Ovis aries: one gene and its partner. The protein of the gene in region 1 interacts with the protein of each later gene in a pairwise test. Links are inferred from orthologs where the notes say so. Each region holds a gene or a part of one and is shown in the gene's direction. Other genes may lie near its edges. The genes, in order: SSX2IP and SHFL.

The links.
Region 2: the proteins of SSX2IP (region 1) and SHFL interact in binary tests that used the Homo sapiens proteins (3 or more experiments, as listed by UniProt). The two-hybrid records come from large-scale screens. The link is inferred for Ovis aries from reciprocal best matches to the Homo sapiens genes SSX2IP and SHFL.

What each region holds. Positions count from the first base shown.
Region 1 is NC_056054.1:61,670,834-61,686,736, reverse strand, and holds the end of SSX2IP (afadin- and alpha-actinin-binding protein), read left to right. Parts: intron 1-1,361; coding exon 1,362-1,498; intron 1,499-1,838; coding exon 1,839-2,012; intron 2,013-4,867; coding exon 4,868-4,982; intron 4,983-5,448; coding exon 5,449-5,614; intron 5,615-8,846; coding exon of another isoform or gene 8,847-8,850; exon of another isoform or gene 8,851-9,348; coding exon 9,349-9,526; 3' UTR 9,527-10,206; downstream 10,207-15,903. UniProt on the Homo sapiens protein: Belongs to an adhesion system, which plays a role in the organization of homotypic, interneuronal and heterotypic cell-cell adherens junctions (AJs).
Region 2 is NC_056058.1:12,496,697-12,513,153, forward strand, and holds SHFL (shiftless antiviral inhibitor of ribosomal frameshifting protein), read left to right. Parts: upstream 1-8,309; 5' UTR 8,310-8,397; coding exon 8,398-8,418; intron 8,419-8,876; coding exon 8,877-9,000; intron 9,001-9,191; coding exon 9,192-9,241; intron 9,242-10,611; coding exon 10,612-10,650; intron 10,651-10,792; coding exon 10,793-10,942; intron 10,943-11,374; coding exon 11,375-11,478; intron 11,479-11,619; coding exon 11,620-11,774; intron 11,775-12,231; coding exon of another isoform or gene 12,232-12,317; coding exon 12,318-12,544; 3' UTR 12,545-12,621; downstream 12,622-16,457. Other genes in the region: ANGPTL6 (angiopoietin-related protein 6), read right to left, coding at 12,839-13,029, 13,528-13,798, 13,877-14,064, 14,602-14,779, 15,897-16,457.

The sequences.
Region 1 (15,903 bases):
TCAGACTAAAGTCCTTAGCTTAGCTTGGCAATTTGAAAAGCAAAATTCTGCCTACTTCCAGATGTGCGGTTTGAGAAAATATGCTTTGCTCTCAGAATCTCTCAAAAAAGGACATCTTATTGTCCATCCATTCCAAGTGCAGAAGACAGTTGAATAAAGTAAACTGGGTCTTCTACTATATCTTGGCAATCAGGAAATATTAATCATAATATAGTATAAATATATACCTTTTTCTTATTATTCATAGATACTTGCATATTCTTAATTTGCAAATAATTCATTTTTAAATTATTTTCAAAATAATAGACATTTGATTCAAAATATCAGGAAGTATATAAGGTATTGGGTTGGCCAAAAACTTCATTCAGGTTTGTCCATAAGATCTTATTGAAGAATCCAAATAAACTTTTTGGCTAACCCAAGAGAACAGTCAGGTCTCTGTTCCCTATGGTGCATACCTTTCTAGACCTTTCTGCATTTGCAAAATACTTATTTTAAATGTCTACAAGCCATAAGTTGAATATTACTTGTTTTTTTCTATACTGTTCTTTTTTCACTCAACAGTGTATTATTTTTAGATAACCAGTTCCTGTCATTATAGATACCTAGTAGATTGATGTTGATGAGTATATCCTTAACATTTTATATTTGTTCAAGCTTGCATGTTTTTAAATCAAGAAAATTAAGACGTCTGTTAAGTAAATGCATTTTACTTAAAGAAAATTTATTCTAAATGGTCAGAAATGACAATCTCAGTGCTAATTGTCTTAAAAAGTGAAGTCAGAACAATTAAAGTATCAAAATTAGTTTACATGAGGTTTTTTTGATTTCATTTATCACTGTCTATTAGTAAATAGCAAGTATTTTTGGACCTGATATTTGTCAGATTTAATAACAGCAAGATTTGTAATCTTGCACTGATCTTTGAGGAAGTGTCAAAAGAGTATAGTTTATGAATGTTAATTTTTCTGGGAACATAGGTTTGCATTTCTAATTAGGACATCATCTTGAATGAATACAAATTACAGGTTAAATGTTGGAAATAGAATTTTGTAAGTAAGGATATCATTTAGTCCAGAAATAGCGTGAATTTTATAGTTACCACGAACTCATTACAGTTGCTTACTTAAAAAAATATTTTAGTGTTAAATAATATACCTTTTATTCTATTTTATTATAGCTAGTGGAGTTTTTAAAGGACAAAAGAAATAACTACCTTTTAGAAAACCGTTGAGATTCCAGAAAGGGAAAACCTTTCTGATTTTTAAATTTATTTCTTGATTTTTAAATATATGTCCCCAAATGCCATAAACTAAAATGGAGACTATAAGGTTTATGTCAAATTATTGGTTTTGTATTAGTTTCAAAGGTACACTTAGAAGGTTTTAATGACGAAGATGTAATCTCACGACAAGACCATGAACAAGAAACTGAAAAACTCGAGTTGGAAATTCAGCAGTGTAAAGAGATGATTAAAACTCAGCAGCAACTTTTACAGGTAAACGCAGGACACCTTTTAAAGCTGTTCTCCCCTGTGAAGGGTCAGGATTTTATTGAATCTTACTAGATTTTTGCTCCTTTATTTCGTAAGATATGTTTTACAGTCTAAGTTCTCTGCTTGCTAGCAGATAGACCACAAAGCATCATTAGTCGATGCTTTGCCTTTTAGAGTAGAAGCATTTGGGAAATGAGGCTTCTCATTTCCATTGACTTTCTGATTCTTCATCATCTCTCTCCTTGCCCTGAAGTTAGGCCTGCTTTTTTTGCTTGCTTTCATTTCAACTTGTTGGAGTGTTGCAGGGACCCTCTGGAACTTACTATGTGTTAAAATTTAATAGCAGCAGCTCGCTACTGCTTGTGATGATGACACCACTTCACTGCTACGAGACTGTTACTTGTTGGAAGAAAAGGAACGCCTCAAAGAAGAGTGGTCCCTTTTTAAAGAGCAGAAAAAGAATTTCGAGAAGGAAAGACGAAGCTTTACAGAAGCAGCTATTCGCCTAGGATTGGAGGTATTTTAAGCAATTGGCCTTCCTTGTAGAATGTTTGAAGGTCCTGGAGAAGCCTCACTAGAATGCATTGAAGTTCTTATTTTTTGTTTTTTTGCTGTACATTTCCTCAAGTATTTTACCAGTGATTTCACAAAATAGCTTGAAACGGAAGCTGTAATAGAGGTGTATCATTTTGCCTTCAGATTTGGGAATTGAAAAAAATTTTATATTGAAAAAACTAGGCCTTTGTCATGCCTTCTGGGTAGCTTTCTGCTTGCTGTTAAGAGTTTTGCTTCACGAAGGAGATTTCTTCTGGGCATCTGTCATCTCTCCGCTGTTAGTAGGTGTAAAGTCAGGAGAGAGTTCAGCCGAGAGAGTGTCTTGGGTTTTTTTTAAGGGAAGGGAGAGTACAGTACCATTGCCTTACCCAGGGATGAACTGTGTGTATGCGCTTCAGCAGCTCGCCTTTTTATTTAGTAGTGTGTTACATGCACTATTTCCCTATCCAAACCTAGAGAAGTAATGTCTGGACATGATTTAAAAAAAGAAACTCATTCCAAAAAGCTACAAGGTGTGAAAGTATCCTTCCTTCTTCTCAGTTTCATTCCTCAGAGGTACCACTATTGAAGGTTTATGATTCTTCTGGGAAAAACTATTTTAGCTTGAATAAAATTCAGCCTTTTTTCTTACAGTCAGCCTATTGACTCCCCACTATGAAACACAAGGAGTTTAGTGCCCTTACCATACCTCCCATCTACACTATTTCTCATATACATATGATTTCTCCATAATATTGTTACTTTTTTAAGCTAATTTTTAAAGAACTGTTTCTCCTGGTTGATTTTTTTACTCGGAGTAAATTTGTTTAATGCTTCCATTCCATGTTTGCTCAGCGTTAGACAGGATGGGTTTATCCCTGAAATGGAAGGTGAGGGCGTCCTTGTAGTTACCCTTGTTGCAGTGCTTTTACCCCTCGACTGCTCAGTTTTTGTCAGTGATGCTATTTTTCACTGTCAAGTGTTACCACATTTATACTCTGATTTTTAATACAAATTCAAGTGTAAGTACTTTGTCCAGGATTGCGATTTAAGAATGGAAACCAGAAAGAACATTGATAACCCTGTGATTATATGAATATTCATTCTATGGCCGAGTAATACGTTTGGACACTTTTATATAGCATTCTTTGTTGTTAAAACTGTCACGCAGAAGAGAATCTGTAGTGAATTCTGTGACTTTTTTGTGGGTGCTTGCTTTATGATTTCTGAATCAGGTTCAGCTTCTATCTCGTATTCTCTTTCTTGGGTTCCTTTTTCAATCTGTTGTATTACCTTCTTGAGTAATTTTTTCACAAGTGTGTGTGAGTGACAAATATTCTGAATTCTGGACTATCCAAAAATATATTCATACTTGATTGGTTTGCCTGGATGTAGAATTGTTTTCCAACTTTTCCTTTCAAAACTGTGAGTTATTCTGATTCTTCCATTGTTTGATTTTGCTCATGAGCAGCCTGGTTATAAAATACCCTGGGTTAATTTTAGACAGCTGTGCTGTTTTTCCCCCTCTGTGGAAGCTTTTGCAATTTTATGTTCTTAAATTAAGAGTTGTGAAATTTTACCAGGGTAGGTCTGGGTAGCTCCTTTTAACCTGAAGATGCTCTATTTCTTCAGTTCAGGGATATTTTCTTCAATTCTGTATTTTTTCCTTCTCTGACTTCTCTTGCATTCTGGAACTTCTGCTAGACAAATATTTGGCCTTCTGACTACATCTATAGATTGACTTTATGTTCCGAATTTGGGAATATTTTCTCTTTTATCTTGTGCAGCACCAACCTGGTATTCAGCAAGGTCAGTTTGATTTTTCACTTCATCCACTGAGTTTTTACTTCACAATTTATCTTTTAAGTTTTATAGTGTATTTTTTGTTTTGTGTCTCATATTATATTTTACAGATGTCTTTAAGTCTGTCTGATAATTTGTGTTATCTTAAAAAAACTTGCCTTGAGCTTTACCCATGGCCAGTTCTCTTTATTTCTCCTGGCATTTTTCTTCTATGCTATTACTTTTCTTCAAATGTCTGGTGATCCATGATTTTGTATTAATGTTTATGAATGAAAGACTGTATGTTATCTTAAGTAGCCGACGCCTTCCTCCTTCATTACGAAATTCTGTGTTATCTATAGCTATTGTCTTCCTCAGGAAACAGACAGTTTGTGCCAGCATTTTCTCCCATCTTACGGGATCACCTCTGTTTCTGAGCTCATATCCCTCACCTCTCTCCGTGCCAGTCCAAGAGATACTCTTGTTACTTTGCATACGAATCTCCCTGAAAGGGAGACCTGAGAGGTGAGGGAGAATTTAGGATCCATCCCCTGCGCCTTCAGAAGGGGGAGGTTTCACATACGCCCTCTTGTGGTCCTAAGTGATGAGGGCTGCTAGGCCCTGGGCCGTGGCTTGAGGAAGAGAGCGGTGCTCAGTGAAGCCTTTTTCTTCCCCAAGTGATTAGTTTACAATGGGGTATTTTTCTGTTGTTTGTAATCTTATAGTTACCATGTTTTGTATGTTCAAAAGTTATGCTGATATTCTGTATGTTTAAAGTTATGCTAATGTGCTTATTTTTCTGTGTTATACTCTTGAATTTATTCAGAATGGATGTGAAAATAGTAGTTGACTTGTTAGGAGAAACAGGTGAATTTTTATTTCTAACAGCTTTCTTAAATGAGGTTTAATTTTGGTTTTCTAGGGTTAATTCCTCTGACTTAATATATAGAGACAGTCAGAGAGCAAGCACAAGTGCCTACAGAAATCGTGCGAATCGGCAACTATGTGAATGCTGGAATACTGATCATTGTTTCTTTGGTTTGCTTGTTACGGCAGAGAAAGGCATTTGAAGAAGAAAGAGCCAGTTGGTTAAAGCAACAGTTTTTAAATATGACTACCTTTGACCACCAGAACTCAGAAAATGTGAAACTTTTCAGTGCCTTCTCAGGAAGTGAGTACTTCGTAAGCTTTTTAATCTGAAAATACATGTAAATAAAGTACTGTAGGTTATTAATATATAACTTTAGCAGTCACCAGTAAGAACTCTCTAATTGGAATAAAAGTCAACTTTGATATTTTAATTTACTGTAACCAAAATAGAAATGACAGGAGGATTTTGCATACCGAAGACAACTTTTGTGAGTGTAATGTCAAGTTTTGAAAATCCACAATCTAGAAATATTTTTTAAACTAGATCCTCCTAAATGTTTGTGGACTGAATGTAGCAAAGTTCACCAGATTAGCTAGACTACACTCATACGTACAGAAGATATTCAGATTGTTCTCACACCTCCCTTAGAGCTGCAAAGGAACCTAGTCTAGGCTCCTAGTTGATTACCTTCAGTGTATTTATTACTAATGCTTCCTCATATGTACTGCCTTTTTTTCTTCCTTCTTTTTCTTCTTTTTTTTAATAGGTTCTGATCGGGACACCCCTACATTACACTCGAGGTCACGGCAAAAGAAGCCTCACGGTGTGCCTAGCGGGTCTCCAGTTTGCACGTCTAAACTGACTAAGTCTCTTCCTGCTTCTCCTTCTACTTCAGACTTTTGCCAGACACGTTCTTGTGCATCTGAACATAGGTACTGGCCTGTAGGTGATCTCCTCACACACTTGTTACAGTGCTAGAGAGGCATTGTGAAGGAAGAGCTGGCCTGTCTAGGATGAGGACTAGTAAAGGCTCTGAAGAGGAACTGAGTAGATTGACTCATTCATTGTACACATATTTATTGGGTACCCATTACATAGAGACGCCTATTAACGTGGGGAATACAGTGGTGAGCAAGGTAGCTCTGGTCGCTGTCTTCTGGGTGCGGAGTCATATACATATGTGATTCTTTTTATTTCACGGGTAAAATACAACTTAAAGTACAGTCTTATCTCAGGAGTTACTTAATATTTTAATTGTATTGAATAGAAGGATATTGCATTGATAGTTTCTGTAGAGTACCTCTTTAAGCATCTCATGTGGTATGCCCATGTTATGGATGTGGAAGGACAAAGACCTGAGAAAAGCTACCTTCCTTTGACTGGTGACGAGGATCTGTGTCCAAGGGTGACAGGACAGGCAGAGTTGCTCCACACCCCCCAGGAAAGCCAGATAACTGCTTTTAACTGCTGCATTTCAGTATTTTCCTTGGTCTTAAGTTGTTAAATCATTTTCTAAGGTATAATGTCAGCACTACCTTAGAGCCTATTTCAAGATTAATTTTGAACTAAGCAGATGGAACATTCCTAGGGAGGTAGAGAAGAACAGAAAAGAGCAAAGGGCTGTGTCGCAACGTGTGGCATGATCTCGTTCCTCGCCGTTAAAGTAGGAGATAGTGGCTCTTGGCCCTGGCCAGGCATCTCAGAACCGCAGGAGCTGGGGCTGGCGTACACTTGGCCTGTCCAGTGACAGACTGGCATGGAGCCCAGTGCTGAAGAGGCCAAATAGCCCTTGAACCAATAATTGTCCATTTTTGAAACAAAATTTAAGAATTTTTAAACAAAAATGTGAAGTTTTAGAAAAGGACAAGGCGTTCTATTTTATAGTTGACTTTTAAAAGGATTCGGGCTCTAAATATTAAATATGGAGGGGCAAAAAAAGACTGGGGGATGAGCCCTCCAGGCAAGTGTAGGGACCCTGAAGTAGGACACAGGTGTGTTTGTGCGAGTAAAACCAAGTGGTGTGAAGGTGAGAGGTAATATTTTATGTAACAGTTCAAATATATACAGATACAAAGAGAATACGGTCAGGGTCCCTGTGTACCCATCACCCAGGTTCGTTAGTTGTCAACTCATGACTAATATGTTTGTATACAACCCTGCTGTGCTTGACACCTCCCCCCCATGATGCACTTAAGATTTCATTTGTAAACTATGTTAGTCTGTACTTGTAAGTAGGATTGTTCTAAGGCATTGGAAGACAATTGGAGACCTTATAAGTGAGAGAATGATTTTTTAAAAACCTAAGTTCTAAAAAGATGACTTCATTTTATTATGTGATAAACAGATTGTAGAAGCCAGTAATATAAGCCAGGAGACCCAGTTAGAAGACGTCAGTGGAGTGGACATGAGAGACGTAGTCATCTGGACTCTGGGGTCATAACCTGAAGATAGGGCTATGCTTAGATTTAGGCTGTATTCTGCAGTTAGAGCCAGTGGGTTGACTGATGGGTTAAATGTGGGAAGGTAAAGTTTGTTTAATTTACAATCAAAAGATAATGTAAGCTCAGAGTATATGTGTAGAATGTTATTGAAACCCCCAAATTGACCAATCAAAACTCTGCGTATAGATTTAGATACACATTCTAGTCGCAATTCACAAATGCAGGCAGCCCTCAGAGACGTTGCAGACTCAGCTCCAGACCACTGAGACAAAAGGGAATATCACAACAAAGCGTGCTACTTGAACTTGCCGGCTTCCCAGTGCATGTAAAAGTTGTGTTTGCACTGTATTGTTATCGATTGAGTGTGCAGTAGCAGTGTATTTAGAGAACAGTGTGCCTACCATAATTAAAAAATACTTCATCACTAGGAAACAACCCAAGATTGCCATAAACCCTCAGTTTGTAAAAAATACAATATCTGCAAAGTGTACAGTAAGTTGAAATGCAATAAAATGAAGTATGCTTATAATGCATTCTGTACCTAAAGGAGAATGTAGCCTAGTTGCCTCAATTATATTTATATATTTAGAATTTTTACTTTTTTACATAATTATTTTTAGTTATAACTCCTTGAAGACTGTGTTTAATGAAAAGGCCAACATTTAGTACCTACATTAAGGGTACTGTGTGAGATGCAGTGCCAGTATATGTAAAGCACTTAAAACAGTACTTGGCCCTTTGTAAACCTTCAGTAGCAGCATATAAAAATATATGTAAGCATAAATGGATTATAAAAATGCTTTTCTGTTTCTTGTATCCCAAGAGCTACACTGAACAGTATCAGTGGCATAGAAACAGAATTTTGGAGCTTAAGAAAATTTCGTTAAGCTATTCCCAGTTGCTGGCCTCTGAGGATAAAATAAGAGTCACGTGACTAGTTATCAAGCAAGAAGCTGTGCAGCTTGACATCGGCCTTGAAATTTTTAATTATTTGGTGTATTTGAATTCCTGATCTTCAAGCACTTTGGATCTGGGTTTGTAATAAGATTATGGCAAAATAATTAGGAGTATTTATGCCTAATTTCTATAGCACATCCTCATTCCTCCTTCACTGTAGAGTGGAATGTTACATATCAGCTGTAACTCACGTTACAGCAACGTAACGGCAAAGTAACTCACGTACTAAGTTATGTAGGAAACTTAGTTCACCATTGATCTAATCTCATCTGAGATGGCAGGGATTCTGAATCTGATTTATAAGCAAGTGCCTTTTTTTTTTTTTAAAGCAAATAAGTATAAAATTGTCAGTGTTTTTGGTTTAGAGTTTTAGAATTGGAGCACCTTAATTTTTTTAAGGATTGCCACATTATAAGGTTGAGTTATTAACCAAAGTCACATCAAAAAATGAATATTTAGGGAAAATAAGTTTTATGGAAAAAATTAAGCTATTTAGTTGATAAAAATGTATTGTTCATTGGCTCAGCCCATGATTTGCGAGTAGTCATTTAACTAAATTTCCTTGCTTTGAGGCTGGTTGCAGAGCATACCTCAGACAGTATCTCTGAAGTTAGGGGTCTGTATCAGTGTTCAGACACTTAAATTGTTGTTGTCTGACACTTAAAGTTAATTGAGCATCATCACACGTGCTTAGTGTGTGTTAACTCATTTAGTTTCCACCTCAAGCCTATGAGTTATGGGTTCTAATATTATTTCCACTTTACAGCTGAGGAAGCTGAAGAACAGCAGGGCTTAACTTGCCAGAAATGATGCACTAAGTGTCCAGCTGGGATGTGAACCTAAACCATCTGTTCGGGCCTAGACTCTTCACTACTTTGTAGGCCCTCATTAAATATCTGCATGGCTGAATGGATGGAGGATGCAAGCGTGCATGAACAAATCAATGAGTGAAGAAAGAAAGCATAAAAAGACTAGGACATTGTGGTATGGGAGACATTAGCTTTCAAAATTCACATGTTATCTGTCTGCCTTAGGCTCTGGTTGGGTAGCATCCTTCAGAGTAGACTGAACAGATAAATAAATAGATGGATAGATCAAAGTGATAAATTAGACTAGACCATGTTAAAGCACTTGTATGTTCTTGACCAGTGTGTCCTCAAAATTTTTGTTTAGCATGGGGCAAGGGAGAAATCAGATTTTAGACATTCAGGCATATCTAAGGTATGAAGGGAGGAGATAATAATTAAGATCTGCCTTTCTTTCCCCAGCAGTTCAATCAATGTACTGAATATCACCCCTGAAGAAACTAAGCCAAATCAGGTTGGAAGAGAATGTACAAATCAGAAGTGGAGCATGTCGTCAAGGCCTGGGTCACAGGAAGGTTGCTATAGTGGATGCTCCTTGGCCTACACAAATTCTCATGTAGAGAAGGATGACTTACCTTAGATATATGAACAGGGAGTTTTTTTTTTCATTAACATGGTCATCAGATTTCACATCTGAGTTGAAACAGGGCATGTTATAAAGTCAGTGATCTCTTAATAATTTAAGGTGGTCTGTGTTGTTTGTTTGGACTTCCCTGTTCCTCCCCAAAGAGCTAAAATGTTAAATCTATTTAAAAGGATATAAAAACTTTGGATATGTATTTTTAGTAACAGAAGCATCTGGTTCTGTGAATAAAGGAATGTATACATGTTTGGATGAAAACAAAGCACTAGAATGAGTTTCCTATTATAGATCTTAAAAATAGCACTTTTAGGAAACTGATTATTGTAAATGTTTAATTTTGTCTCATACATAGTTGGCATTGGAAGTTTAGCCTTTCCTTGAATGTATACTGTAGATTTTTAACAAAGCAAGTTCTATATTTATTATGTTTAATGTGATTTGAAATTCCCTCTTTCATATGTTTTAAATAAAGTGAAGTTTATGTATGTTTTGTACATAGATATACATGATTATGTTAAGAGGCTTTAAGATTTAAAGATTTTACACATCCATAATTATAGTATTTCATGCCGGTAAATTTTTATTAGTGATATTCTGTTACAGATGTATGAAAGCCATTGCAGCATTATGTTTAAGAAGTTTTTGAACCCATCTGAGCAATAAATACTCAAAAGCTATTCCATGAAGCCAAGTTCTTTAGATAATTAATATTACTAACATTCCATTTTTGAGATTTCTATAGCATTGGATTTTTTTAATATGAAGGATATTACAATTTTCAAAGGACTGTTGATTTTAGGGTAATAGAGGTAAGATGATTAGAGTACCTTTGGATAAAACAATTTAAGAGTATTGGCTTAGGATACTTCGATGTTAGAAGATACTGATATTTAAGATGTTTGGATGGTGATATTTTCTTTACCAGATGGGTACCCATACTGTAACGCCTGTACCAGCAAAGGCTTTGTATAGTTGCCAATAATTATTTAATAATTTTTCAATGAGATATTTAGTAATAAGGGAATCTGACAACATAAATTATCAGACTTTATAGTCCAGATACTATGATACTCTGGACAGACTTGTTTTATTTTCTGGACTAATTGCATGTTTCTTCATGGTTGTTGTTGTTGTTATTATTTATAGTAAGAATAATGTAAGTGTGGGCCCAAGCCCTTTCCAGGGTTTTCATCAGAAAGCTTTAAGTACCTAACCCTTATTTATCTCTGCATGTAGAAACCTACACATACCCAGTCCTTGCTGCAGGTATTGTAGTTGAGGCCCATCTGCCTTCCCATTTTCTAGTAGTTTTAACCATTTATATTCACTCACCTGGTTGCGGCTGTCCCATTGAAATTTGTCGTGTTAAATAGTACTTTTGTCACCCACTCACTGTATAGAAAACTTTTTCAGGGCTAATAGCATATCATTGAGTATCTTATAAGACATTAGTGAAAGTACTGCAGTTACAGTCTCAAAAAGCTGGCTCTTGAGTAAAAGCAAATTAGTCACTCACTACATTCAGCTTGGTGCATGCCCTTTCTTTACCATTTAAAATAGTAGAAATTATGCAGAATTTCAGAAATAGTACCATATTCCAAAGGAAGAAACAGCTGGTGGTATAATTCTTTGGCTACTTGCAAAGAGTCGGACGTGACTGAGCGACTGAACTGAACTGAGCAATAATGATATCAAAGAAAAGCAAATTTTCTAAATAGTGATATATTTGTCAAGAATTGGGTGTTTTTTTCAGGGGTTTCCATGATATACTTGGCTAGAAACTTGCTCTAGTTTTTAAATTAGATCTTATTTTAGGGAATGTTGCATTTCATAGTGATGAATTTCTACAAAGCAGCATGTTTTTTCTTTCCATTTTGGAGTTGGTTGAATTCTCTTATTGAAAAGCAAAATTCCCTTGAGACTTACTTTGAAATCTCAGGTGTGAAAGAAAGAAAATGAAAGCCAGGGTCATCATACTTTTGAAAAAAGTGTGCATAGATCTGCCAGAAGTCATGTGTTTTACTTAACAGTGTAAGTTACGTTTCAGCTCCAACAATGGTTCCTAGTTTCGCAAAGCTTCCCAAAATGTTAAAAAGGTTTCCATGCTGGATAACTCCTGACTCCACATATAAAACTCCTACTAGAGTTTGTTTCCCTTCCTTCTGTAGGTATTTGCTGTGTTCTAGTAGTTGAGCCATGTGGCAGTCTTACATTTAGCTATGATGGTGCATGAGAGCACCATGTTCACTTTTGCTTGGAAGCCCTCCTGACCATCTTAAATGTCTTCTTGTTTCAGTTCAGTTCAGTTCAGTCGCTCAGTCGTGTCCGACTCTTTGCGACGCCGTGAATTGCAGCATGCCAGGCCTCCCTGTCTATCACCAACTCCTGGAGTTCACTCAAACTCATGTCCATTGAGTTGGTGATGCCATCCAGCCATCTCATCCTCTGTCGTCCCCATTTCCTCTTGCCCCCAAGTCCCTTCCAGCATCAGAGTCTTTTCCAATGAGTCAACTTTTCGCATGAGGTGGCCAAAGTACTAGAGTTTCAGCTTTAGCATCATTCCTTCCAAGGAATACCCAGGGCTGATCTCCTTTAGAATGGACTGGTTGGATCTCCTTGCAGTCCAAGGGACTTTCAAGAGTCTTCTCCAACACCACAGTTCAAAAGCATCAATTCTTCAGCGCTCAGCTCTCTTCCCAGTCCAACTCTCACATCCATTCATGACCACTGGAAAAACCATAGCCTTGACTAGACGGACCTTAGTTGGCAAAGTAATGTCTCTGCTTTTCAATATGCTATCTAGGTTGGTCATAACTTTTCTTCCAAGGAGTAAGCATCTTTTAATTTCATGGCTGCAGTCAGCATCTGCAGTGATTTTGGAGCCCCCCCAAAAATAAAGTCTGACATTGTTTCCCCATCTATTTCCCATGAAGTGATGGGACCAGATGCCATGATCTTCGTTTTCTGAATGTTGAGCATTAAGCCAACATTTTCACTCTCCTCTTTCACTTTCATCAAGAGGCTTTTTAGTTCCTCTTTACTTTCTGCCATAAGGGTGGTATCATCTGCATATCTGAGGTTATTGATATTTCTCCCGGCAATCTTCTTGTTTATCAGGATGCAAATCTGAAATATTTTGTGCCTTATTTGTTTTTGCCTGACATGCCCATTTTGAATTTTTGAAGCATAAAAGTGGCAAAGGAAATAGAGAAAAATTTTATTTCCTACTCTTAAATTTTTATATCTTCAGGATATGATGAGAAACTTAATAGAAGAATAATCCTACCAGAAAATTAAGATAAAAATTAAACATAATAAATAGGTATTTTCTTATAGAAGCAATGCATCAAGTGTTTAGATTCATAGACCAGTCCACAGCAAATTGTTTCCTTCATAGTATAATTAAAATACTATTGTTACTTAAAAGTTCCATTTTTCCTACCTTTGCTGACCAGGCTTGTTCTTAGGCTTGTGATGTAACAGGTTTTCTGGGAAAACATATTTCACGGTGCATGGTGAGAAGGAAAGCACCCTAGAATCCAGTCTTGACTCACCCTAATGGAGCATTTGAAAACACCTGGGATGCAGGGAGAGGTTTTGCAGACTGTGAGCTAGCGAGCCCCTGTGTGATTCGCTGTTCTAAAAGTCTTGAATGCCTTGTTGCCTGATGTAAATCATGTTCTTATTTCTAGATTGTATTTAAAATATACGTGTGAGTCATGGGAGTGTACTAAATATATTTTTTCCCTATGTTTATCCTTAATTTTAAAAAATCTTTTCATAAGCAAATAAAGTACCTGCTGTGTCAGGCCTTATTAATACCTTCTAGTCAGTCACTAGGGAGAGAAAGACAACTAATGCTTTCTGCCACTGAGAATCTCTGGGTTGAGTGAAAGACCAGCTATAAAAACCTAAATTGTAAACGATGGGAAATGCTTTTCAGATGTTCAGTCTGGTGATAACCGTGGACTGATTGTTCTATTCCAGGACTGTATATCCATCTCATAACAATGCTGTGGCAAGCTTCTAGTTAGAGTCTTTGCGTTATTTCCTATGGGAAGAACTATGTAACTAATATATTATTTTGTTTTTGTTGGGTGTTGGGTTTTGTTTTCTACAATCAAAATACCTGCAAAGCAGCATTAAGAATTACTGCCCACAAGAACATGTATTATTATCTAATAGAGAAAGAATTTGCAAAGATTTGGGCCATGTAGATAAGGATAATGAGGTAGATTATCTCGGTCATTTCTCTAAATAGGATGCATTTTTTTCAGGTTGGTTGTAGATTAAAGTGAAATGGAACTAATTAAATTATTTGATTTATATAAAAATATTTCACTTGAGTGTTTTGGTTTTTTTTTTAACATTTATAAATACCTCATTTCAGAGGTCTCAGAAAGTACTGTAATGCCAGTAATATATAAAGATCCTGGTAGAGATCCTTCCATACTCATATTTTACATCCAGAAATACTTGTACCTTGTAAGATGCTTAATGCATAGTGAGCATGGGATATTTGTTAATGAAAGGTGTGAAATACTAATGAACCTAGTATTTATACTTGTATAATGAAACACATTGCTTCATTGGCATGAATGGACTAAATTTCCGGTCAGAATCCTGAAACTTCTTTCTCAATAGTGATAGGCACCTTTTTGGGTTGATTTCCAACCTGATGTAGTTTGATTCCTCACACAGGGCATTGGAATAGAGTAAGCCATTCTACAGTGAAAAATACCAAACTGGTGTGGCTGTGCACAAAGACTGAATTCTTGCTTGTGAAATGACCAGTGCGGCCGGGCAGTCAGCCTCCTTCATGCCATCTGGCTCATATGGCCCACAGTGTTGTCACATCTGGGAAAAAGCAGACCGGTTGGTGATGTTGGCTGTTAAGAACCAGATCTGAAAGAGACATGCTTTCTACACATTACTTCATCCAGAACCTAGGCCTACAGCCCCAGCCTAACAACAAACCAGACTGGAGGACACAGGAAATGTAGCTATTTGGTGAGCACTGAGAGCTTACTTGGCTGCGTAATACGTTTGGTGAGTTAACTTATTTAAAAAATAAGCAGCCAGGGACTTACTTCCCTGGTGGTTCCGTGGTGAAGAATCTGCCTGCCAATGCAGCAGACATGCTGGAGGGTTTGATCCCTCATCCAGGAAGGTCTCACACGCCATGGGGGAACTAAGCCCGTGCATCACAACTATGGAGCCTGTGCTGTAGTGTCAAGAAACTGCAACTACTGAGGCCATGTGCCTTAGAGGCCATGCTCCACAACAAGAAGCCACGACGAACAGAAGCCCACACACCGCAGCTAGAAGGTAGCCCCTGCCCTCTACAACTAGAGAAAAGCCTGCTCAGCAACCAAGACCCCGCACGTAAATTATTTTTTTTAAAATCGGCAAAACACACTTCTCTGTGCACAGCATTTATTGCTGATTAATTATTAAAGATTCAAATAGCCTTAATTTATGGAAGGGATATATTTTAAGTCTCTAACCTTTCCATAATATGAAGTTTTTAAAAGTTTAAATGGTAGTTTTACACATTTACTAAAACATAGTGTACATAACATGTATTTTATGTTGATTCAACAACGCTGTGAAAAAGAATATTAACCTATTTTTATTTTTTTAATTTTTATTAAAAATTTTGTTGAGGTATAGTTGATGGACAATATTATGTGTTTCAGGTATATAACTTATTGGTTCACAATTTTCAAAGGTTATGCTTCACTTAGAGTTACAATAAAATATTGGCTAACTACACTTCAAGAAAATTAGAGACACCAAGGGAATATTTCATGCAAAGATGGGCTTGATAAAGGACATAAATGGTATGGACCTAACAGAAGCAGAAGATACTAAGAAGAGGTGGCAAGAATACACAGAAGAACTGTAAAAAAGCGATCTTCACAACCAAGATAATCACGATGGTGTGATCACTCACCTAGAGCCAGACATCCAGGAATGTGAAGTCAAGTGGGCCTTAGAAAGCATCACTAAAAGCTAGTGGAGGTGATGGAATTCCAGTTAAGCTATTTCAAATCCTGAAGGATGGTGCTGTGAAAGTGCTGCACTCAATATGCTAGCAAATGTGGAAAACTCAGCAGTGGCCACAGGACTGGAAGAGGTCAGTTTTCATTCCAATCCCAAAGAAAGGCAATGCCAAAGAATGCTCAGACTACCACACAATTGCACTCATCTCACACGCTAGCAAAGTAATGCTCAAAATTCTCCAAGCCAGGCTTCAACAGTATGTGAACTGTGAACTTCCAGATGTTCAAGCTGGATTTAGAGAAGGCAGAGGAACCAGAGATCCAAATTGCCAACATCCGCTGGATCATTGAAAAAGCAAGAGAGTTCCA
Region 2 (16,457 bases), on another chromosome or scaffold:
TTGCCATTTCCTCCTCCAGGAGATCTTCCTGAACCAGGGATCAAACCTGTGCCTCCTGCATGGGCAGGTGCATTCTTTACCGCTGAACCACCCGGGAAGCCCATAAATCAAGGTAGTGTGATCATAAAAATGGCTACACGGTCCTTGAAGGATTACTATGCTTTGTATCCTCTAAATCAACACAGTCCCATAAGAATATAATGAAAGTCACATGTAATTTTTTGTAAAAATTTAAAAATTTTTTGGCTGCACTGGGTCTTCATTGCCATTCACAGGCTTTCTCTAGTTGTGGCGAGAGGGGGGCTACTCTTTGTTGCGTTGCACAGGCTTCTCATTGAGGTGGCTTCTCTTATCGTGGAGTATGGGCTCTAGGCTGCAGGCTTCAGTAGTTGTGGCACATAGGCTTAGTTGCCCCTCCGCATGTGGGCTCTTCCCTGAGCAGGAATCGAATCTGTGTCCCCTGCACTGGCAGGCGGATTCTTAACCAGTGGATCACCAGAGGAGCCCCCATACTTATAATTTTAAATATTCTAGTCATTGCATTAAAAAGACAAAACAAAACTATGAAATTAATTATAACAATTTTATTTAGCCCAATATATCTAAAATATCATCGTTTCAAAATGTAATCAGTACAAAAAGTTTAAAATGTGTTATTTCACATAAATCTTCAAAACCCAACGTGCAATTTGACACTGATAACACGTCTGAATAAGGAGCTACCATATTTCAAGGGCTCAAATGCTACATGTGACCAGTGGCTATCCTATCAGACAGCCCAGTTCTTAATGGTTTATCTATATTAACTCACAGAATCTTTACAGGAACTCTATTCCCATTTCATAGATGTGGAAATTTAGGCTCCGAAATTTAACAGAAGAAACTGCTCAGAGAGCTAGCAATAGGCTCAAACCCAGACTGTCTGCTTCCAAGGTGCACCCCCTTGGCTTCTATACTCATCCTTAATTCCATCTGGAAGGAGCGATGCGCGCAGCTGTCCTGGGTCCAAGTCCTGACTGTGCCACTTACAAGCCAGATCACTGCATGATTTGCTTAATCCCTCTGAAATTTCATATTCTTCATCTGAAAAAGGGGCAGTAGTGCCTAAGCCAGAAGGTTGAGGGATCACTTGCTAGTCTAAAGACTGGAGGACACTCCACAGAGAGCTCGGCACCCTGCTGACCCCGGGTACATTCGGGCTCTTTCTACCACTTCGATTTCTCCATTCACTGAATTCATTTGGGCCACCCAGCTTTGCACATAACACATTCTTGAAAACCTATCTGAAGCCGATCTTGCGCAAGTCGAACAATAGATTGCTGTGCTGTCAAGGGCACTGCGTTTACAAAGGGCTACACAAATTATGCAGTTCCAAATTACTTCTCACCTCTTAGGTGTCATTGTCAAAGACAGATTCCCAGGGTCTCGTACATGTTATTTTAAAAAGTAATTGGATTTGTCTTATTGTGTATTTTCTCGATTCTCATTACAAAAGTGATGGATGCTTATTGCAAACAAAAAAATTTTTGATATTTTGAGAATTATGTCATATTGAGAGTAAAGGTAGTGTGGGGATCCACATGCAGAAATGCACACGGATGGGGTGTGTGTGCCAAGGGAGTGTCAGCGAGGCCTCACCTGTCAAAGCATCAGAACACAGAGGTTGAAAGAGACAATTAAAATAACACACAGTATTCTGAAATTTAACACATACATATACACAAACATATAATGAACTATGTGGATGAAACTTTTTTCTGAGCCACAAATAATAAAAAACAAATACTGATCAATCATGCTAGAGAAAAAATAAATTATCTTTGTAGTCAATCTGAAGAAAATATTACAAATCATTGTCACATGAAGAGTCGGTTAAAGAGTTTGTTGTTGTTTAGCCACTAAGTCATGACTGATTCTTTGTGACCCCATGGACTATAGCCTGCCAGGCTCCTCTGTCCATGAGATTTCCCAGGTAAGAATAGTGGAGTGGGTAGCCATTTCCTTCTCCAGGGGATCTTCCTGGCCCAGGGATCAAACCTGAGTTCCCTGAATTGCAGGCAGATTCTTTACCACTAAACCACCTGGGAAGTGAAGTGAAGTGAAGTGAAGTGAAGTCGCTCAGTTGTGTCCAACTCATTGCGACCCCATGGACTGTAGCCTACCAGGCTCCTCCCTCCATGGGATTCTCCAGGCAAGAGTACTGGAGTGGGTTGCCATTTCCTTCTCCAGGGGATCTTCCCGACCCAGGGATCGAACCCGGGTCTCCAGCATTCCAGGCAGATGCTTTAACCTCTGAGCCACCAGGGAAGCCCACACCACCTGGGAAACCCTGGTTAAAGAGGATATACCCATAAAAAGTAGGGGGATGTTTGGAGAGGCATGCTTGACAGTTAATTAATAAAAACACTTTGTTATTTTAAAAAAATAGCACATCATGCTTTAGTAGGTATTGCAGAGTTGCTCTCTCCAATGATTCTACCAAAGGACACTCTTTCCAACCAACAATATGGAGATTTCCCATACCCCAACATCCCCAGTTCTAGGCATCCCCAAATTTCTTCATCTGGTTAAACTGAGGGAGGGACTTAACCAGCAGTTAAGACTCTGTGTTTCCACTGCAGGGGGCACAGGTTCAACCCCTGGTCAGGGAACTAAGATGCTGCATGCTGCTCACTGTGGTCTAATTAATGAAGCTGAGGGAGAAATTGACTAGGTTTTGAAAAGCACACACATCCTCCAATCATGTCCATTTCCTCCACAACTAAACATACTTTTCACCCAGCATACGCCCCTGAAGGTCCAACTGAAGGTCAAGATTTGGGTGTGATCTTCCCCTCCGTTCACTCTCCACCCTGCTCACTAAACCCCAGCTGACGTCTCCTATAGATTCCTGCAATATACCCAGCCCCCTCCCACCTCAGGACCTTTGCACATGCTTCTCTCTCTACCTGCACCTCGTCACCTTGTTGTTGTTATTCAGTTGCTCAGTCGTGTCTGACTCCTTGTGACCCCATGGGCTGCAGCACCCCAGGCCTCCCTGTCCTTCACCATCTCCCACAGTTTGCTCAAACTAATGTCCATTGACTCGGTGATGCCATCCAACCATCCCCTGTTGCCCCCTTCTCCCCCTGCCTTCAATCTTTCCCAACATCAGGGTCTTTTCCAGTGAATTGGCTTTTCACATCAGGTGGCCAAAGTATTGAAGCTTCAGCTTCAGCATCAGTCCTTCCAGTGAGTATTCAGGGTTGATTTCCTTTAGGGTTGACTGATTTGGTCTCCTTTCTGCCCAAGGGACTCTCAAGAGTCTTCTCCAGCACCACAGTTCAAAAGCATCAATTCTTCAGCACTCAGCTTTCTTTATTGTCCAACTCTCACATCCATACATGACCACTGGAAAAGGCATAGCTTTGACTGGACAGACCTTTGTCAGCAAAGTGATATCTCTGCTTTTTAATATACTGTCTAGCTTTCTCACAGCTTTTCTTCCAAAGAGTGAATTTTAATTTCATGGCTGCAGTCACCATCTTCAGTGATTTTGGAGCCCAAGAAGTAAGGTTTGCCACTGTTTCCATGTTTTCCCTAGGTAGTTCCTATTCCCTATTTATCCTTTGGAGAGAACCCTCCACCCCTAGGAGGTTCTTGTTTTCCCTTTTGTAATAATATTACCCCCTTTATATGATTTCTATCTGGATCAAATGAGATACACAGTTCAAAACCCTTGACACAGTGTTTCAGAAAGTGTCAAGACTTCATTTCAGTGGGGCTTCCCTGGCCTCCAGCGGTTAGGACTCATAGCTTTCACTGTCATGGCCCCAGGTTCCATCCCTGTAAAGGAACTAAGATCCCGCAAGCCACAAATGCGGCAAAAAAATAAAAACTTCAGTTCGAGAGACATCTCATCCATGAGGCCCTCCCTGACCACCCTACACACATCTGGTTCCCAAGTGTTATCCTTTCTTATGGATCTCTCAATTTCTCTTTTTGGTACATACCATAAATATAAATAATTCCTTCTGCTATCATCTGCTTCTTGTTTCTCTTTCAGATTAAGACCATGACTCCAGAAGGATAGAAATGGTGCCCAGCACCATACCTGCCAGACAGGAGGTGTTTGATCCATGTCTGTCCAATAAATGAACGGATAGGTCAAATGGGTTCCGTCTTTGACTCAATTACTAAAATGTCAGAGGTTACACTTCTTATCACTGTTATCACCCCATCCATCCCCCCCCTCTTCACACCTTTCCCTAAAGGCAAAGAATAAAATGCATTCGTGTCCACATCATGGGACAAGAAAGCTATCTATATGTGTCCAGACAGACCAAGATGGTTACAGAGCTCAAACTAAACTTTGATGTAGGCAGCGCCTCCATGTGATCGCTGGGAATCTTTGTTTTTCTGTTCATCGTGTTTAGTCGCTAAGTCATGTCAGAGACTTTTGCGACCCTACGGACAGTTGCCCGCCAGGCTGCTCTGCCCATGGGATTTCCCAGGCACGAATACTGGAGTGGGGTGCCATTCGCTTCTCCAGGGCATCTTCCCAGCTCGGGGACCAAACTGTGTCTTCTGCACTGGCAGGCGGAAATTGCCAAGCCACCAGGGAAGCCCTCTGTTCACCTATAAATGCCCAAATTCAATACTCACAGGCTGTATCTCTGTCCCTCCAGAGTGACTCTCACCCTCTCCTCCTGCTCTGTGCCCTGACAGGCTGACTGCCTGACCGGCTCCCTTTCCTTCCTTGCCTTCTGGCGCTGGAAGCGAGAGACTCCAGTAGGAGATGGGGAGGGAGGAGGGGAGAGAGGGCAGGGTCTTTATCCTCCTCTTCCTAAACACAGGCTGGATCTGGCAACTCAATTTTACCACACAGGATGTGGCGGCTGAAGGGATGCTCTGGGACTTTCAAGGCTAGGTCACGAAACGATACAACTTCCACCTGGCTTTCCTTCTCTTGTGTTGCCTGCCCTGGCGCGGCCAGCTGCCAGGTTGGGCATATCAAACTCAAGTCAACCTAGGTAGTGCGGAACTGAGGCATCCCGCCAACAACCAGCACTCACCTGCCAGTCACGTGTGAGTGAGCCTCCTTGGAAACAAGAGCCTTCAGCCCCAGTCAAACCTTCAAAGGAACGCAGCCCCAGTCAACATGTCGACTACAATCTTATGGAGACCCTGAGCCAGAAAGCCTACTAAAGCCGTCCTTGGGTTCCTGACCCACAAAAATTGTGTGAGCTAATAAGTGTTTCTTGTTTTAAGTCGCTACGTGTGTGCGTACTGTCACTTCAGTCATGTCCATCTCTGTCACCCCATGTCAGCCCATGTCACCCCACATCACCCCATGTCAGTCCATGAGGATTCTCCAGGCAGGAATACTGGAGTGGGTTGCCATGCCCTCTTCCAGGGGATCTTCGTAACCCAGGGATCGAACCCACATCTCCTGCACTGGCAGGCAGGTTCTTTACCACTAGCGCCACCTGGGAAGCCCTTAAGCCATTACATTTGGGGAGATAATTTGTTACACAGCAACAGAGAACTACAACACCTGGTAAGAAGAGTCCCCAGTTACCATTCTTCCTGGAACCCTCTTCCTCTGCATCCTTCAGGTTTCCACTCAGATGTTACTTCTCACAGCCTTCCCTAAACCCTCTTTACCCATCCCCCTGTCGTAGTTTATTTTTCATCCTGGCACATATTATCTCCTGAAAGTTGTAAGAGTGTTAGTCACTCAGTTGTGTCTGACTACAACTCCACGGAGTGTAGCCCACCAGGCTCCTCTGTCCATGGGATTCTCCAGGCCAGAATACTGGAGTGGTAGCCATTCCCTTCTCCAGGGGATCTTCCTGACCCAGGGATCGAACCCAGGGATCGAACCCAGGTCTCCCGCATTGCGGGCAGATTCTTTACTGTCTGAGCCACCAGGGAAACTGCCTACCCATCACATATTTGTTTCTTCTATCTCCCCCACTAGAATGCTAGCTCTGTAGGGCAGGGATCTTTGTTTTCTGTGATGCTGTGTCCATGGTGCATGGAACAGTGCCTGGCACAGAGCAAGCTCTCACTATGGTGATCATTAGGATGAGAAGCTAACAGACATGAATTGTGTTGGGGCTTGATCAGATTCCCACCTGTTCCCTGCCTGTTCTGTGCTCACCGTGACCAGGGATGGGACATAGCTGTGACCTCCCCCTCCACTGGGTAAGTAGTAGTTGGGAACTATAAGGAGAGAGCCCCTCCATGCCTCCCCGCTTCTCTGGGATAAAATCCTAGGTCCTCTCAGCAGTCTTCAACCTTTTCTGCACCAGAAACCATTTTCCTGGAAGACAGTTTTTCCACAGACGGCGTGGGGGGTGGGGGGATGGTTTCGGGATGATTCGAGTGCATTACATTTAGTGTGCGATCTATTTCGATTATTATTGCATCAGCTCCACCTCAAATCATCAGGCATCAGATCCCAGAGGTTAGGGACCACTGCTCTGTGACGCCTACAGCCCCTCATTCCTGCCTGAAACCCCACCACTCAGCCACAAAGAACCATGAACTGTTTACACTCGTTAATAGAGTAGGCTCCAGGGAGGAATGCCTAGACTCCACAAACAAAACTTTGGAGTTCGAGTAGAAAACATTAGAACATTTATATTTTTAATCATTGGGGATCTTCCCCACCCAGGAATTGAACCCCCGTCTCTGGAGTCTCCTGCATTGGCAGGCAAATTCTTTACTACTAGCGCCACCTGGGAAGCCCAACGAATATCATTATGTAACAAATACATTATTATAAAATGATCTACAGAATCTGATCTTTCTCTAGTAGCTCAGTTGGGAAAGAATCTGCCCGCAGTGCAGGAGACCTGGGTTCGATTTCTGGGTCGGGAAGATCCCATGGAGAAGGAAATGGCAACCCACTCCAGTATTCTTGCCTGGAAAATCTCATGGACAGAGGAGCCTGGCAGTCCATGGGGTCGCAAGAGTCGGACACGAATTAGCGACTAAACCACCACCACAGAATCTGAGTATTTGTATATAATTCATACTGTATTTGTATATAATTCATAAACAAACACTCTTCGAGGAATTGAGCTTCCACATCTTTACTGATGGAGGTTAAACAATTTGAGGGGTGTCATTTATCCTAACACAATTTTGCCACCCCCAGGGAACATTTGGCAACGTCTGGAGACATTTTCAGTTACCACGACTGGGGCAAGAGTGCCACAGGCATCTAGCGGATTGAAGCCAGGGATGCTGCTAAATATCCTACAATGCACAGGGCAGGCCTCCAGAATCACCCAGCCCTAAATGCCAATAGCGTTGAGGTTGAGAAGCCCTGGCTTAAAGCGCTAGTCACTTTTTTCTGGGGTCTTTGCACCCAAAGCTGTTCCATCCCGCACTCCGATCTTCTGACTGCTGAGACCTCGGTCTTCCGGACTCCTCCAAGAAGCCATTTTTTTCTTTTTTTAAAGAAACCATTTCTGATGCCGCCAGGCAGGGCTCTTCCAGCCCCCTCGCCCACCCCCCACCCCCCATGCTGGGTTAAAATCGTCCTGATCCCTCGGGGTTCTCAATCTTCCGTTTTTCAGCGCAAATTCCCTGGAACCCCTAGACAGACCGATTCTGCAAGACTGTGAGGAACCAGGAATCCGTATTTTTAACGAGCATCTTCTCCCCACCACAACTGCCTGCTTCTTAATATCTTGCACATAGTAGGTGGCCCAGTGACTAGTTGAATGTCTACAGCATGGCAGGCGCTACTAAATACTCGACCTGGGGATCTCGAATCCTGCACCTGCGCGCGCGCGCGCACAGGCATGAGCGCGCGCGAGCACACACACCCGTCCCCAGGATGTAGCCACTATCATCATCCCCACTTTACAGCGAAGTAAACTGAGGTTCAGAGAGAAGACATAGCCGGATAAGACACTCAGAGCGAGACAGGGGTCTAGATCCTCATTAGCGCCTGATTCCGGGTGGAGGGAGGGGACCGAGCGATGAACAGGGGAGCGCGAACAGGCGGGGGCACGGAGACTCGCCGCGGCCTTCAGATGCGGCCCCGCCCCCACGAGGGACGTGAAGACGCGGACCCCGCGCAGCGTGGGGACATGTGACCGACTGCAGAGGCCGCGCCGCTTCCCCCGCCCGAGTTCTGCGCGCTCCGCCGCAGGGTGCAGATCCGGGGCGCCCGCCTGGGTTTGGGGCGCAAGAGCAGAGGCGGAGCCAGGGCGGAGCCAGCCCTCCCCGTCCACCCCCCCGTTCCCAAACGAAAGCGAAACGGAGCGCAGGAAAGGAAGGGCGGAGCCGGCCTGGAGGCCCCGCCCCCTGCCCTGCGCGGCCGGACCGACGGGCGCGCCCAGGTAGGGGGCCGCCGAGCGCGCAGTGCGGACCCTCGCGGGGACCTACGCCGCCACCATGTCTCAAGAAGGTGTGGAGGTAGGAGATGGCTACAACTGGGCCGGTGGCCCGCGAGAGATGCTGAGGAGGAGCTAGGGGCACGGAGCGGGCTTCGCAGTTGCTGGGGACTCCATCCAAGCCCAGACCTTCCCCCCAAGGCTGGCACTCGTCTCCCTCGGAAAGGAGAGTGACCGCCACATGCCCCGGAGCAAAATGCGGCCTCCTCGAGGGAAAGCGGGGGCTGCTGGGTCAAGGGTCAGAGGCCAGGGGTCATCTGGCCGGCCTCATCCCTTAGCCTGGGACGCTCGCCCTAGTCCGCTCCCTCCCCCAGTACTCTGTGGGGACTTTGGCTTTTTCCAGGAAATGCAGTAGAGGGATGGGGGGGGGGGGTGCGAAGGCCAAAACCCGGGGTCAAGTTCGGGCCGTGAAAAAAGGAAGCCTAGGGATGGAGGAAGGGCAATTGCGCTTTTCCTTCCCCCACCGGTCCCCTACCCCAGCTGGAGAAAAGCGTCCGGCGCCTCCGGGAGAAGTTTCATGGAAAGGTATCCTCCAAGAAGGCAGGGACTCTGATGAGGAAATTTGGCAGCGACCACACTGGAGTGGGGCGCTCCATCGTGTATGGTGAGCAGGTGGGGGTCCTGCCTGGTGAGAGTTAAGCTGGGGAGCAGGGAGGGGGTGTGGTCTGTGCTGGGGGCTGGAAGAGGCGATGAGATCATCTCTTTGGGGGGCGGTCTGGATCGGGGTTCTGGGGGCCCTGAAATTCCCACAAAACCTTTCAAGGGGCCTTCACTTACACTTACTCTCCCCACCAGGGGTAAAGCAGAAGGATGGACAGGAACTGAGTAATGATCTGGACACCCAGGTAAACTGCCCCCTCCCCTCAAAACACGTGGTAAGGGAAGGAAGAAGGGAAGGGTCAGGCTCATCCCTGGCAGAGCTCTTTCTGTGCACTGTCCATCCACAACTCATGGTCTAGCCTCATTCACTTACCTCTCAGTTATGGATCTGACCAAGGAGCCTGCAAACCATAGGTGCTCATTACATGCTGATTGTATGAAATGGAGAGAGACAAGAAACTAGGCAGTGAAAAGAATCCGGATTATCATCATTACAGAGGAGCCAAAGAGGTCAGGGAAGGCTTCCTGGAGGAGGTGGTACCACATTCTTCAAGCCTAGGGAGGAGTGATCCCTGGGAAGGGGAGGGGTTGGAGATCTTCCTGGAAGAGAGGGTGACCTGAGCAGAGGAACTTGCAGACAGGTTGGGACGAGTAAGAGATAGGGGAGGAAAGAGGGGCAGGGAAGCCCATGTAAATGAATGACTAAAGCAATGAATGAATGAGAGCCTTTGTATGGCCACTTTGCCCCTTAGATGGCCTTGGTAGCTGGTGCACTGGTTTGCCTGTCTGAAAGGGCCCAGCACAGAGCTGTTAAAGAGTATAATAAAGTATGTTTTATACTTGTAACATTTATATATTTACAGTTATACATATAATGAGTATAATAAAACTAGCAAAGAGTATCATTGATTGAGCACTTTCCCTGCAACAGGACTCCAGGAATTCTGTTGACTTATTGCCACAGGTCCTGTGAGACAAGTCCTATTATTTATCATATCCACTTGACAGATGAGGAAACTGAGACACAGGGTGATGAAGTCACTCACCAGGCTCATGCTGAATGCAGGTGGTGACTGGGATTTGAACCCAGGTCACCTAGAGTCAGAACCTGGACTCCTAGATGTCCTTCATTAGGGAGAGTGGCTTGGCCACGACCCCACAGCTGGAAGTGATGAGGCCAGGATTCCAACCTGTGGCTCTCTGAATCCAGAGCTCAAGCACTTAGCCTAAAGCAGCATAGCCTCAAACAGGTGACCTGTCACAATGCCAGCAAGTGTGTGGCATTTGCCAGCATGAAGGGAGCATGGGGCCCAGGCCTGTTGCCCACACTCACTCAGGGTAATCTCAGGCAAGCCCTCTCAGAGCTCTGGGCCTCAGTTTCCCCATCTGAGCAATGAGGATCACAGGTGTGCCCACCTCTCAGGGTTGCTATGAGGACAACTGAGGTCACACACCCTTGCCCTCAGGAAGTGGAAACTGCTCAATTAACTCCTCTTGAGTTGGGGACACCTTACTCATATGGGGCCAGAACCCTGCCTCCCCATCCAGAAGCCCTGCCCCCAGAAAAGAGGCATGAGCCACCTCCCCAGTTTCTACCCCTGATGTTTCCACCCAGGACCCCCCAGAGGACATGAAGCAGGACCAGGACATCCAGGTGAGTCCAGGGTGTGGGATGGGGAGGTGGAGCGGTGTGCACACCCCTGGGGGTATCCATACGTGAGAAGGAGGGACAGGATAGGGGTTTGGAAGAGAAGAGGACTGACCGCCCTCTTGGCCCCGCCCACCCCATTCTGCAGGCGGTGGCGACATCCCTCCTGCCACTGACAGAAGACAATCTACGCATGTTCCAGCGTGCCCAGGAAGACCTCATCCCTGCCGTGGACCGGCAGTTCGCCTGCTCCTCCTGTGACCATGTCTGGTGGCGCCGCGTGCCCCAGCGGAAAGAGGTGATAACCCAATCCCTGACCTTGGTTCTGTCCCGGCTCTGCTCCCAACCCCCATTCTGTGTCCAAACCAACTGACCTAAGAACATCAGCCTCTGAGACCCCAACCCCGGACACCTGCAGCCTCAGAGATCAACCCCAATCTCAGCCCCAACGCTGACCTACTGAGCTGGACTTTCAACATTCAACTGGAGAAGCTCAACTTACCCTTGAACTCTTGACTATGGCGTTTGACCACTACCACAGAAATCAAGCCTGAACCCCAAATCTGGCTTCTGAACCCCCTGACCAGTGGTGTGCTTCTGATAAACGCCTACCAACCAGGAACGAAGTGCCCCCAGATTTACAGTGTTCGCCAATTTCGATGGTGTAAATCCCAACGTGACCACCATCAGGCTATCGGTGCCCATCTGCTCCGCTCTTCTGTACCCCCAGGTGTCCAGATGCAGGAAATGCCGGAAGCGCTATGATCCCGTGCCCAGTGACAAGATGTGGGGCGTGGCTGAATTCCACTGCCCGAAATGTCGACACAACTTCCGGTGAGGGCACAACTTCCCGAGAGGGTGCTGACCCCACCCCCTCACCCTCGGCCCCGCCCCAGCCCCGCCCCGCCCCTCCCTGCCCTGGCCCCATCCTGGCCCAGCTGGCCTTTGGACCCTCACGGCCCTGCCCGCCCCCAGGGGCTGGGCACAGATGGGGTCCCGGTCCCCCTGCTACGGGTGCGGCTTCCCTGTGTATCCGACACGGATCCTCCCTCCGCGCTGGGATCGCGACCCGGATCGCCGCAGTACCCACACCCACTCCTGCTCCGCTGAGGACTGCTACAATCGGAGAGGTGAGCGCCTGCTGCGTCCGCATGGCCTCCCCCTGTTCCAGTCTATGTGGCCTGGACTCCTGGGATTTCCACCTCTGGGGCTTTACCTACCAAGGTGTCTGCTTGCTTCTTGCACCTAACTCCTTAGGTCCTAGTTCTAGAGGCCATTTCATCTCTTACCACATCGGCCCCTCCTTCCACATCTTCCACCGTCCTCCACCTCCTTGCCTCCAGGTCTCTCCTGGAGGGGGGGTCCCTCCTCACACTCACCTCCCGTGGCATCAGCCACCCTCCATGTTCTCACCCATGAGGCTTTGTGGTTTCACCCTGACAACCCACATCCCAGGGTCCTGTGGACTCAGCCCCTGCAGTCTCTCTGTGTTCTTGGCTCCTGTGTGGTCCTCTGTAGTCTCAGGTGATGCCCATGACCGTGGGTCTCCTGTGGCTTCAACGTCTGTGACTTCCACTTCTGCCCTAGAGCCTGTGGCCGCAGCCCCTCCCCTCCCCCAAAGCACCCCGTGGCCTCCAGCCCCAGGAGAGGGCTCAGAACCTCTCCCTCCCCAGAGCCCCATGTGCCTGGGACGTCCTGTGCGCACCCCAAGAGCCGAAAGCAGAACCACCTGCCCAAAGTCCTGCACCCCAGCAACCTCCACATCAGCAGTGGCTCCACTGTGGCTACCTGCCTGAGCCAGGGGGGCCTCCTGGAAGACCTGGACAACCTCATTCTGGAGGACCTGAAGGAGGAGGAGGAAGAGGAGGAGGACGAGGAGGAGGGCGGGCACGGGGAGTGACCCCTGCCAGATGCAGATGAAAACCAGACACGGTCTGTGGCTATTTTGTGTTGTTATAAAATATGAGCTCAAACTGAGATCTCAATGCCCTTGGGGAGCCGTCTGGGTCCAGGATATTGGCAGGGGGATTCCTGGGCACTGTCTACAAAGCCCTGGGGAAGCCCTGCAGATCCACAATGGGAGGAGGTCTGTGGGGCATGGTCTGCATGGAGCCACAAAGGAGGGGTGGCCAGGACAACTTGGGCTCCTGCTGACACACATCCCCTGGGACCTGAGGGACAGATGGACAGAGGGTCACAGCCTCAGGGGCCTAATCAGCATGGCAGCCTTCTTGAGAGAGTAAGCCCCACCACGAAACTCGGCCCAGTAGACCCCATCCTGGTAGCGGCTACGGTAGTGGCCACCACGATGCCACACACCATTGAGGTTGGAGTGGGCACAGGCATGGTACCACCAGCCTCCCCGCTGGTACAGGGCACAGTTACCTGAGGGGAGAGGGGGAAAAAAGCCTTATTTTATTCTTCTCACCAGAATAAAAGCCTCTACCAGCACCTCACTAACACAAGGCTTTTGCCAGGCATACTCTGTCCCCCTACTTCAAAGTAATAGCCTTAGTTTCTTCCTTATCCCCTTACCAAAGTACAAGTCACATTTTCCTCCGTCCTTTCTGCAAACAAGGAGCTTTTCCTCTCATTCCTTTACCAGAAAAAACAACCTTCTCTACTTTCTTTCTACAATAGTTAAAAGTCCTAGCTCTCACAGCTCCCCCTTTCCCCCACCTCCTTTCACAAAGGCTGAGGCCCTGACTTATTAACTCATTAGAGAATGAACGTAGACTCCCTCACCAGAATAAAAGTCCTGTCCTCCATTCTCTTGTTTGCCCTGATCCCTACCAGAGGAAAGTCTTACCCCACCCTCTTTCATTTCCTCACTAAGAGTCTTCTATCCTGCCCCCACACACCACCAAAATAAGAGCCCTTTACCAGAATAGGAGTCTCGGTCTCTATCCACGGTGCTGAAAGGCTTGTCATTATGCCAGGAAAGAGAATCTCCAGCATCACCATGGTACTGGCCAAGCCGCAGGCGGTAGTGGTCACTCTCAGGCTCCAGGGAAAAACCATCATAGTGGGCGCGTGCCCCACGGCCTCCCCAGTCTTCAAGGAGCACCAGTAGCTCATGGTCCCCACGGCTGGTGAGCTGATGCACAGGTTCAAGGCCCAGCCAGTATTCCCCATCAGGCTCCCCGAAGCCCACCTGGCAGGGCAAGAAAGTCAGAAAGGTAGGCGCTGGGCCCCTTCCCCGCCCAGCCCTGCCCCACCCACCTGTGCCCACCTTGTAGTGCTGCCAGGTAGTGAAGAAGTTGACCGAGCCATCTTGCCGCCTCTGAATCACAGTCCAGCCTCCGCCCTCCAGCTGTTGCTCACACCATGCTGACACCACGTGCCGGCCCACTCGTAACTCATACACTCCACTCTGTCCATGGCCTGCCTGGCGGGCCTCTGCACAATCCCGCCATGGGCCTATGGGCACAGGGATATGGGAGAGGCACAAGCTACACCAGTCAACCCCTTACTGGAGTAAGAGTCTTGATTCTCACTGGTCCCCTCACCAGAAGTACTGCTTCTCTTATTCCCTCTCCAGGATAAAAGCCCCCAAACCCTTTTTCTTACCTAAATTAGACTCTAAGTCACTCTTCTCTCAGTAGAGCAAATGTGGAGGCTGGGATTCTTAAATCCTATGGTTTCACCAGAAGAGAGGTCCTGAACATGGCTCTCTGAACTTCCTCAAATTCTCACCAAAGTAGCATTCTTAAATCTGCTGCCCTCTCATCAAAATAAGAGTACCTCTCCTAGTTTCACACCATAGTAAGAATTTTGTTCCTTAAGAGCCATATCTCCCTGTTCCATCAACAGAATAAAAATGCATCATTTCCCCCCCAGTCCCCTCACCACAAGGGGAATCTCACATTAAGGTCCTGACTCCTATTTCCCTCTATTCATGCTGCACTGGGAATCCCCTGGCTCCTCACACCCCCAACAGCCATGCCCTTGACTTACCTGCTGGCTTAGGAGGAACAGCAGGGTGCCCTGAGGGCAGAGGAGAGGCCAGGGGTCCTGGCTGTCTCAGGGTCTGATCTCTCTGGGGTTCTGCGGCTGAGTTTAGCCTCCTGCCGCTGTCGTCAGTGCCACCCACCAAACTGACGGGAACCACAGGTACCAGGGGTGGGGGCAGGACCTGGGGTAACCAAGAAAGTCAGATGCGTTAGCCCTGGAGGCTCTGGGCTCTTACATCTCCCAGCACCCAGATGGGAAGGCGATCAAGCAGGAGCATGGCTTGATCTTCCCCAGCCTAACTCCAGCAGTCAAGAAGAGACAGAGCTGGACTTCCTGGTGGTCCAGCAGTTGGGACTCTGCTTCTACTGCAAGGGGAGGGGTTCAGTCCCTGGTCGGGGAACTAAGATCCCCCATGCCTCAAGGTGTGGCCAAAAAATTTTAAAAGAGACAGAGCTGGGCTTAAACTCTTGCTCTGGTGTCCACAGCTTAACCAATCTGTTCCTCCAAACTTTTCTGTAAAGCAGGGATAATATGAGGCAATGCAACACTTGAGTATTAACTTACTGAAGCCTCCCAAACCTGTAAGGTAGCTACCGTCAGAGCAACGATCTCTTATTCAAAACCCAAGGCCAGACATAGTCCAGAATTCTAAATAATAGAGCAGGAGTTAGAAACAATAACTGGAGAAGGAAATGGCAACCCACTCCAATATTCTTGCCTGGGAACCCGCATGGACAGAGGAGCCTGGCAGGCTACAGTCCATGGGGCTGCAGAGAGTCAGACACGACTTAGACTAAAGGGCAACAAGAAACAGTAACACAGGGTCTACATATATTCCCTAGCATCCCCAATGAGGTCTTCATGCACATATTAGTAATATACCTAATTACAGGAATCTGCCTGCAATGCAGGAGAGCTGGGTTCAATTCCTGGGTCAGGAAGAAACCCTGAAGAAGGAAATGGCAACCCACTCCAGTATTCTTGCCTGGAGAATCCCATGGACAGAGGAGCCTGGCAGGCTACAGTCCGTGGGGGTCGCAAGAATCAGACACGACTTAGCGACTAAAGCACCACCACTGAGTATTCATATCAGGTAGATAAGTAAAGACTTTAAGTAGCTACCAGTAGCGTTTTGACCCAAATGAGTTGTTGGTGGAGAGGTAGGGATCCGGTTTATGGAGCTTTTTGTACTTCAGAACTGCGGATAAGAGATCCTGGGGTTTCAAGAGGCCACACCTTACTGACAACGCCCACAAGAAGTGGCTGAGATTTGGGGAGGGTGATAGTTTCGGAGTTACCTGCTGCTGCCCTCCCGCACTCCCCGGGCACAAGCGCTCCAGGCGGGCGATGAGGCCACTCTGCTGGCTGACTAGCTGTGCCAGCTCGCGGAACTTGACGTCCAGCTGGTGGAAGCGGGCGGCAGCGCGCTGAGCCTCTGCCGAGGCGTTCAGCACGCGATCCCCGAGCAGCGCCAGCGCGGAGGCGGGCTCCGCCCCCGGACTAGGCCCCGCCCCTGGGCCCGCCTCGTGCTGCAGCTGCGCGCGCAGCTGGCCCAGGCGCGCGCTCAAACCACGGCTCTCCTTGCGCAGCGCACGCACTTCGCCAGCTACGGCGCCGTCGGCCGTTGCCAGCCGCTGAAGTTCGCGCAGCAATTCCTCGTGGCGACTCACGCGCACGCGCAGCGCCGCCACCTCGCTGGCGTTCACGGCCTCCGGCGTCGGGCGCGCGGCCGCTGGCCCGCTCCAGCACACGGCGCCTGTGAACTTCTGCGGGGGCAGCACGAAGGTGTAGGTGCAGCGCGGAGCGGCTGCGCGCGCCCACCACGCGCCCAGCAGGAGCAGCAGCTGCAACGTGAGCAG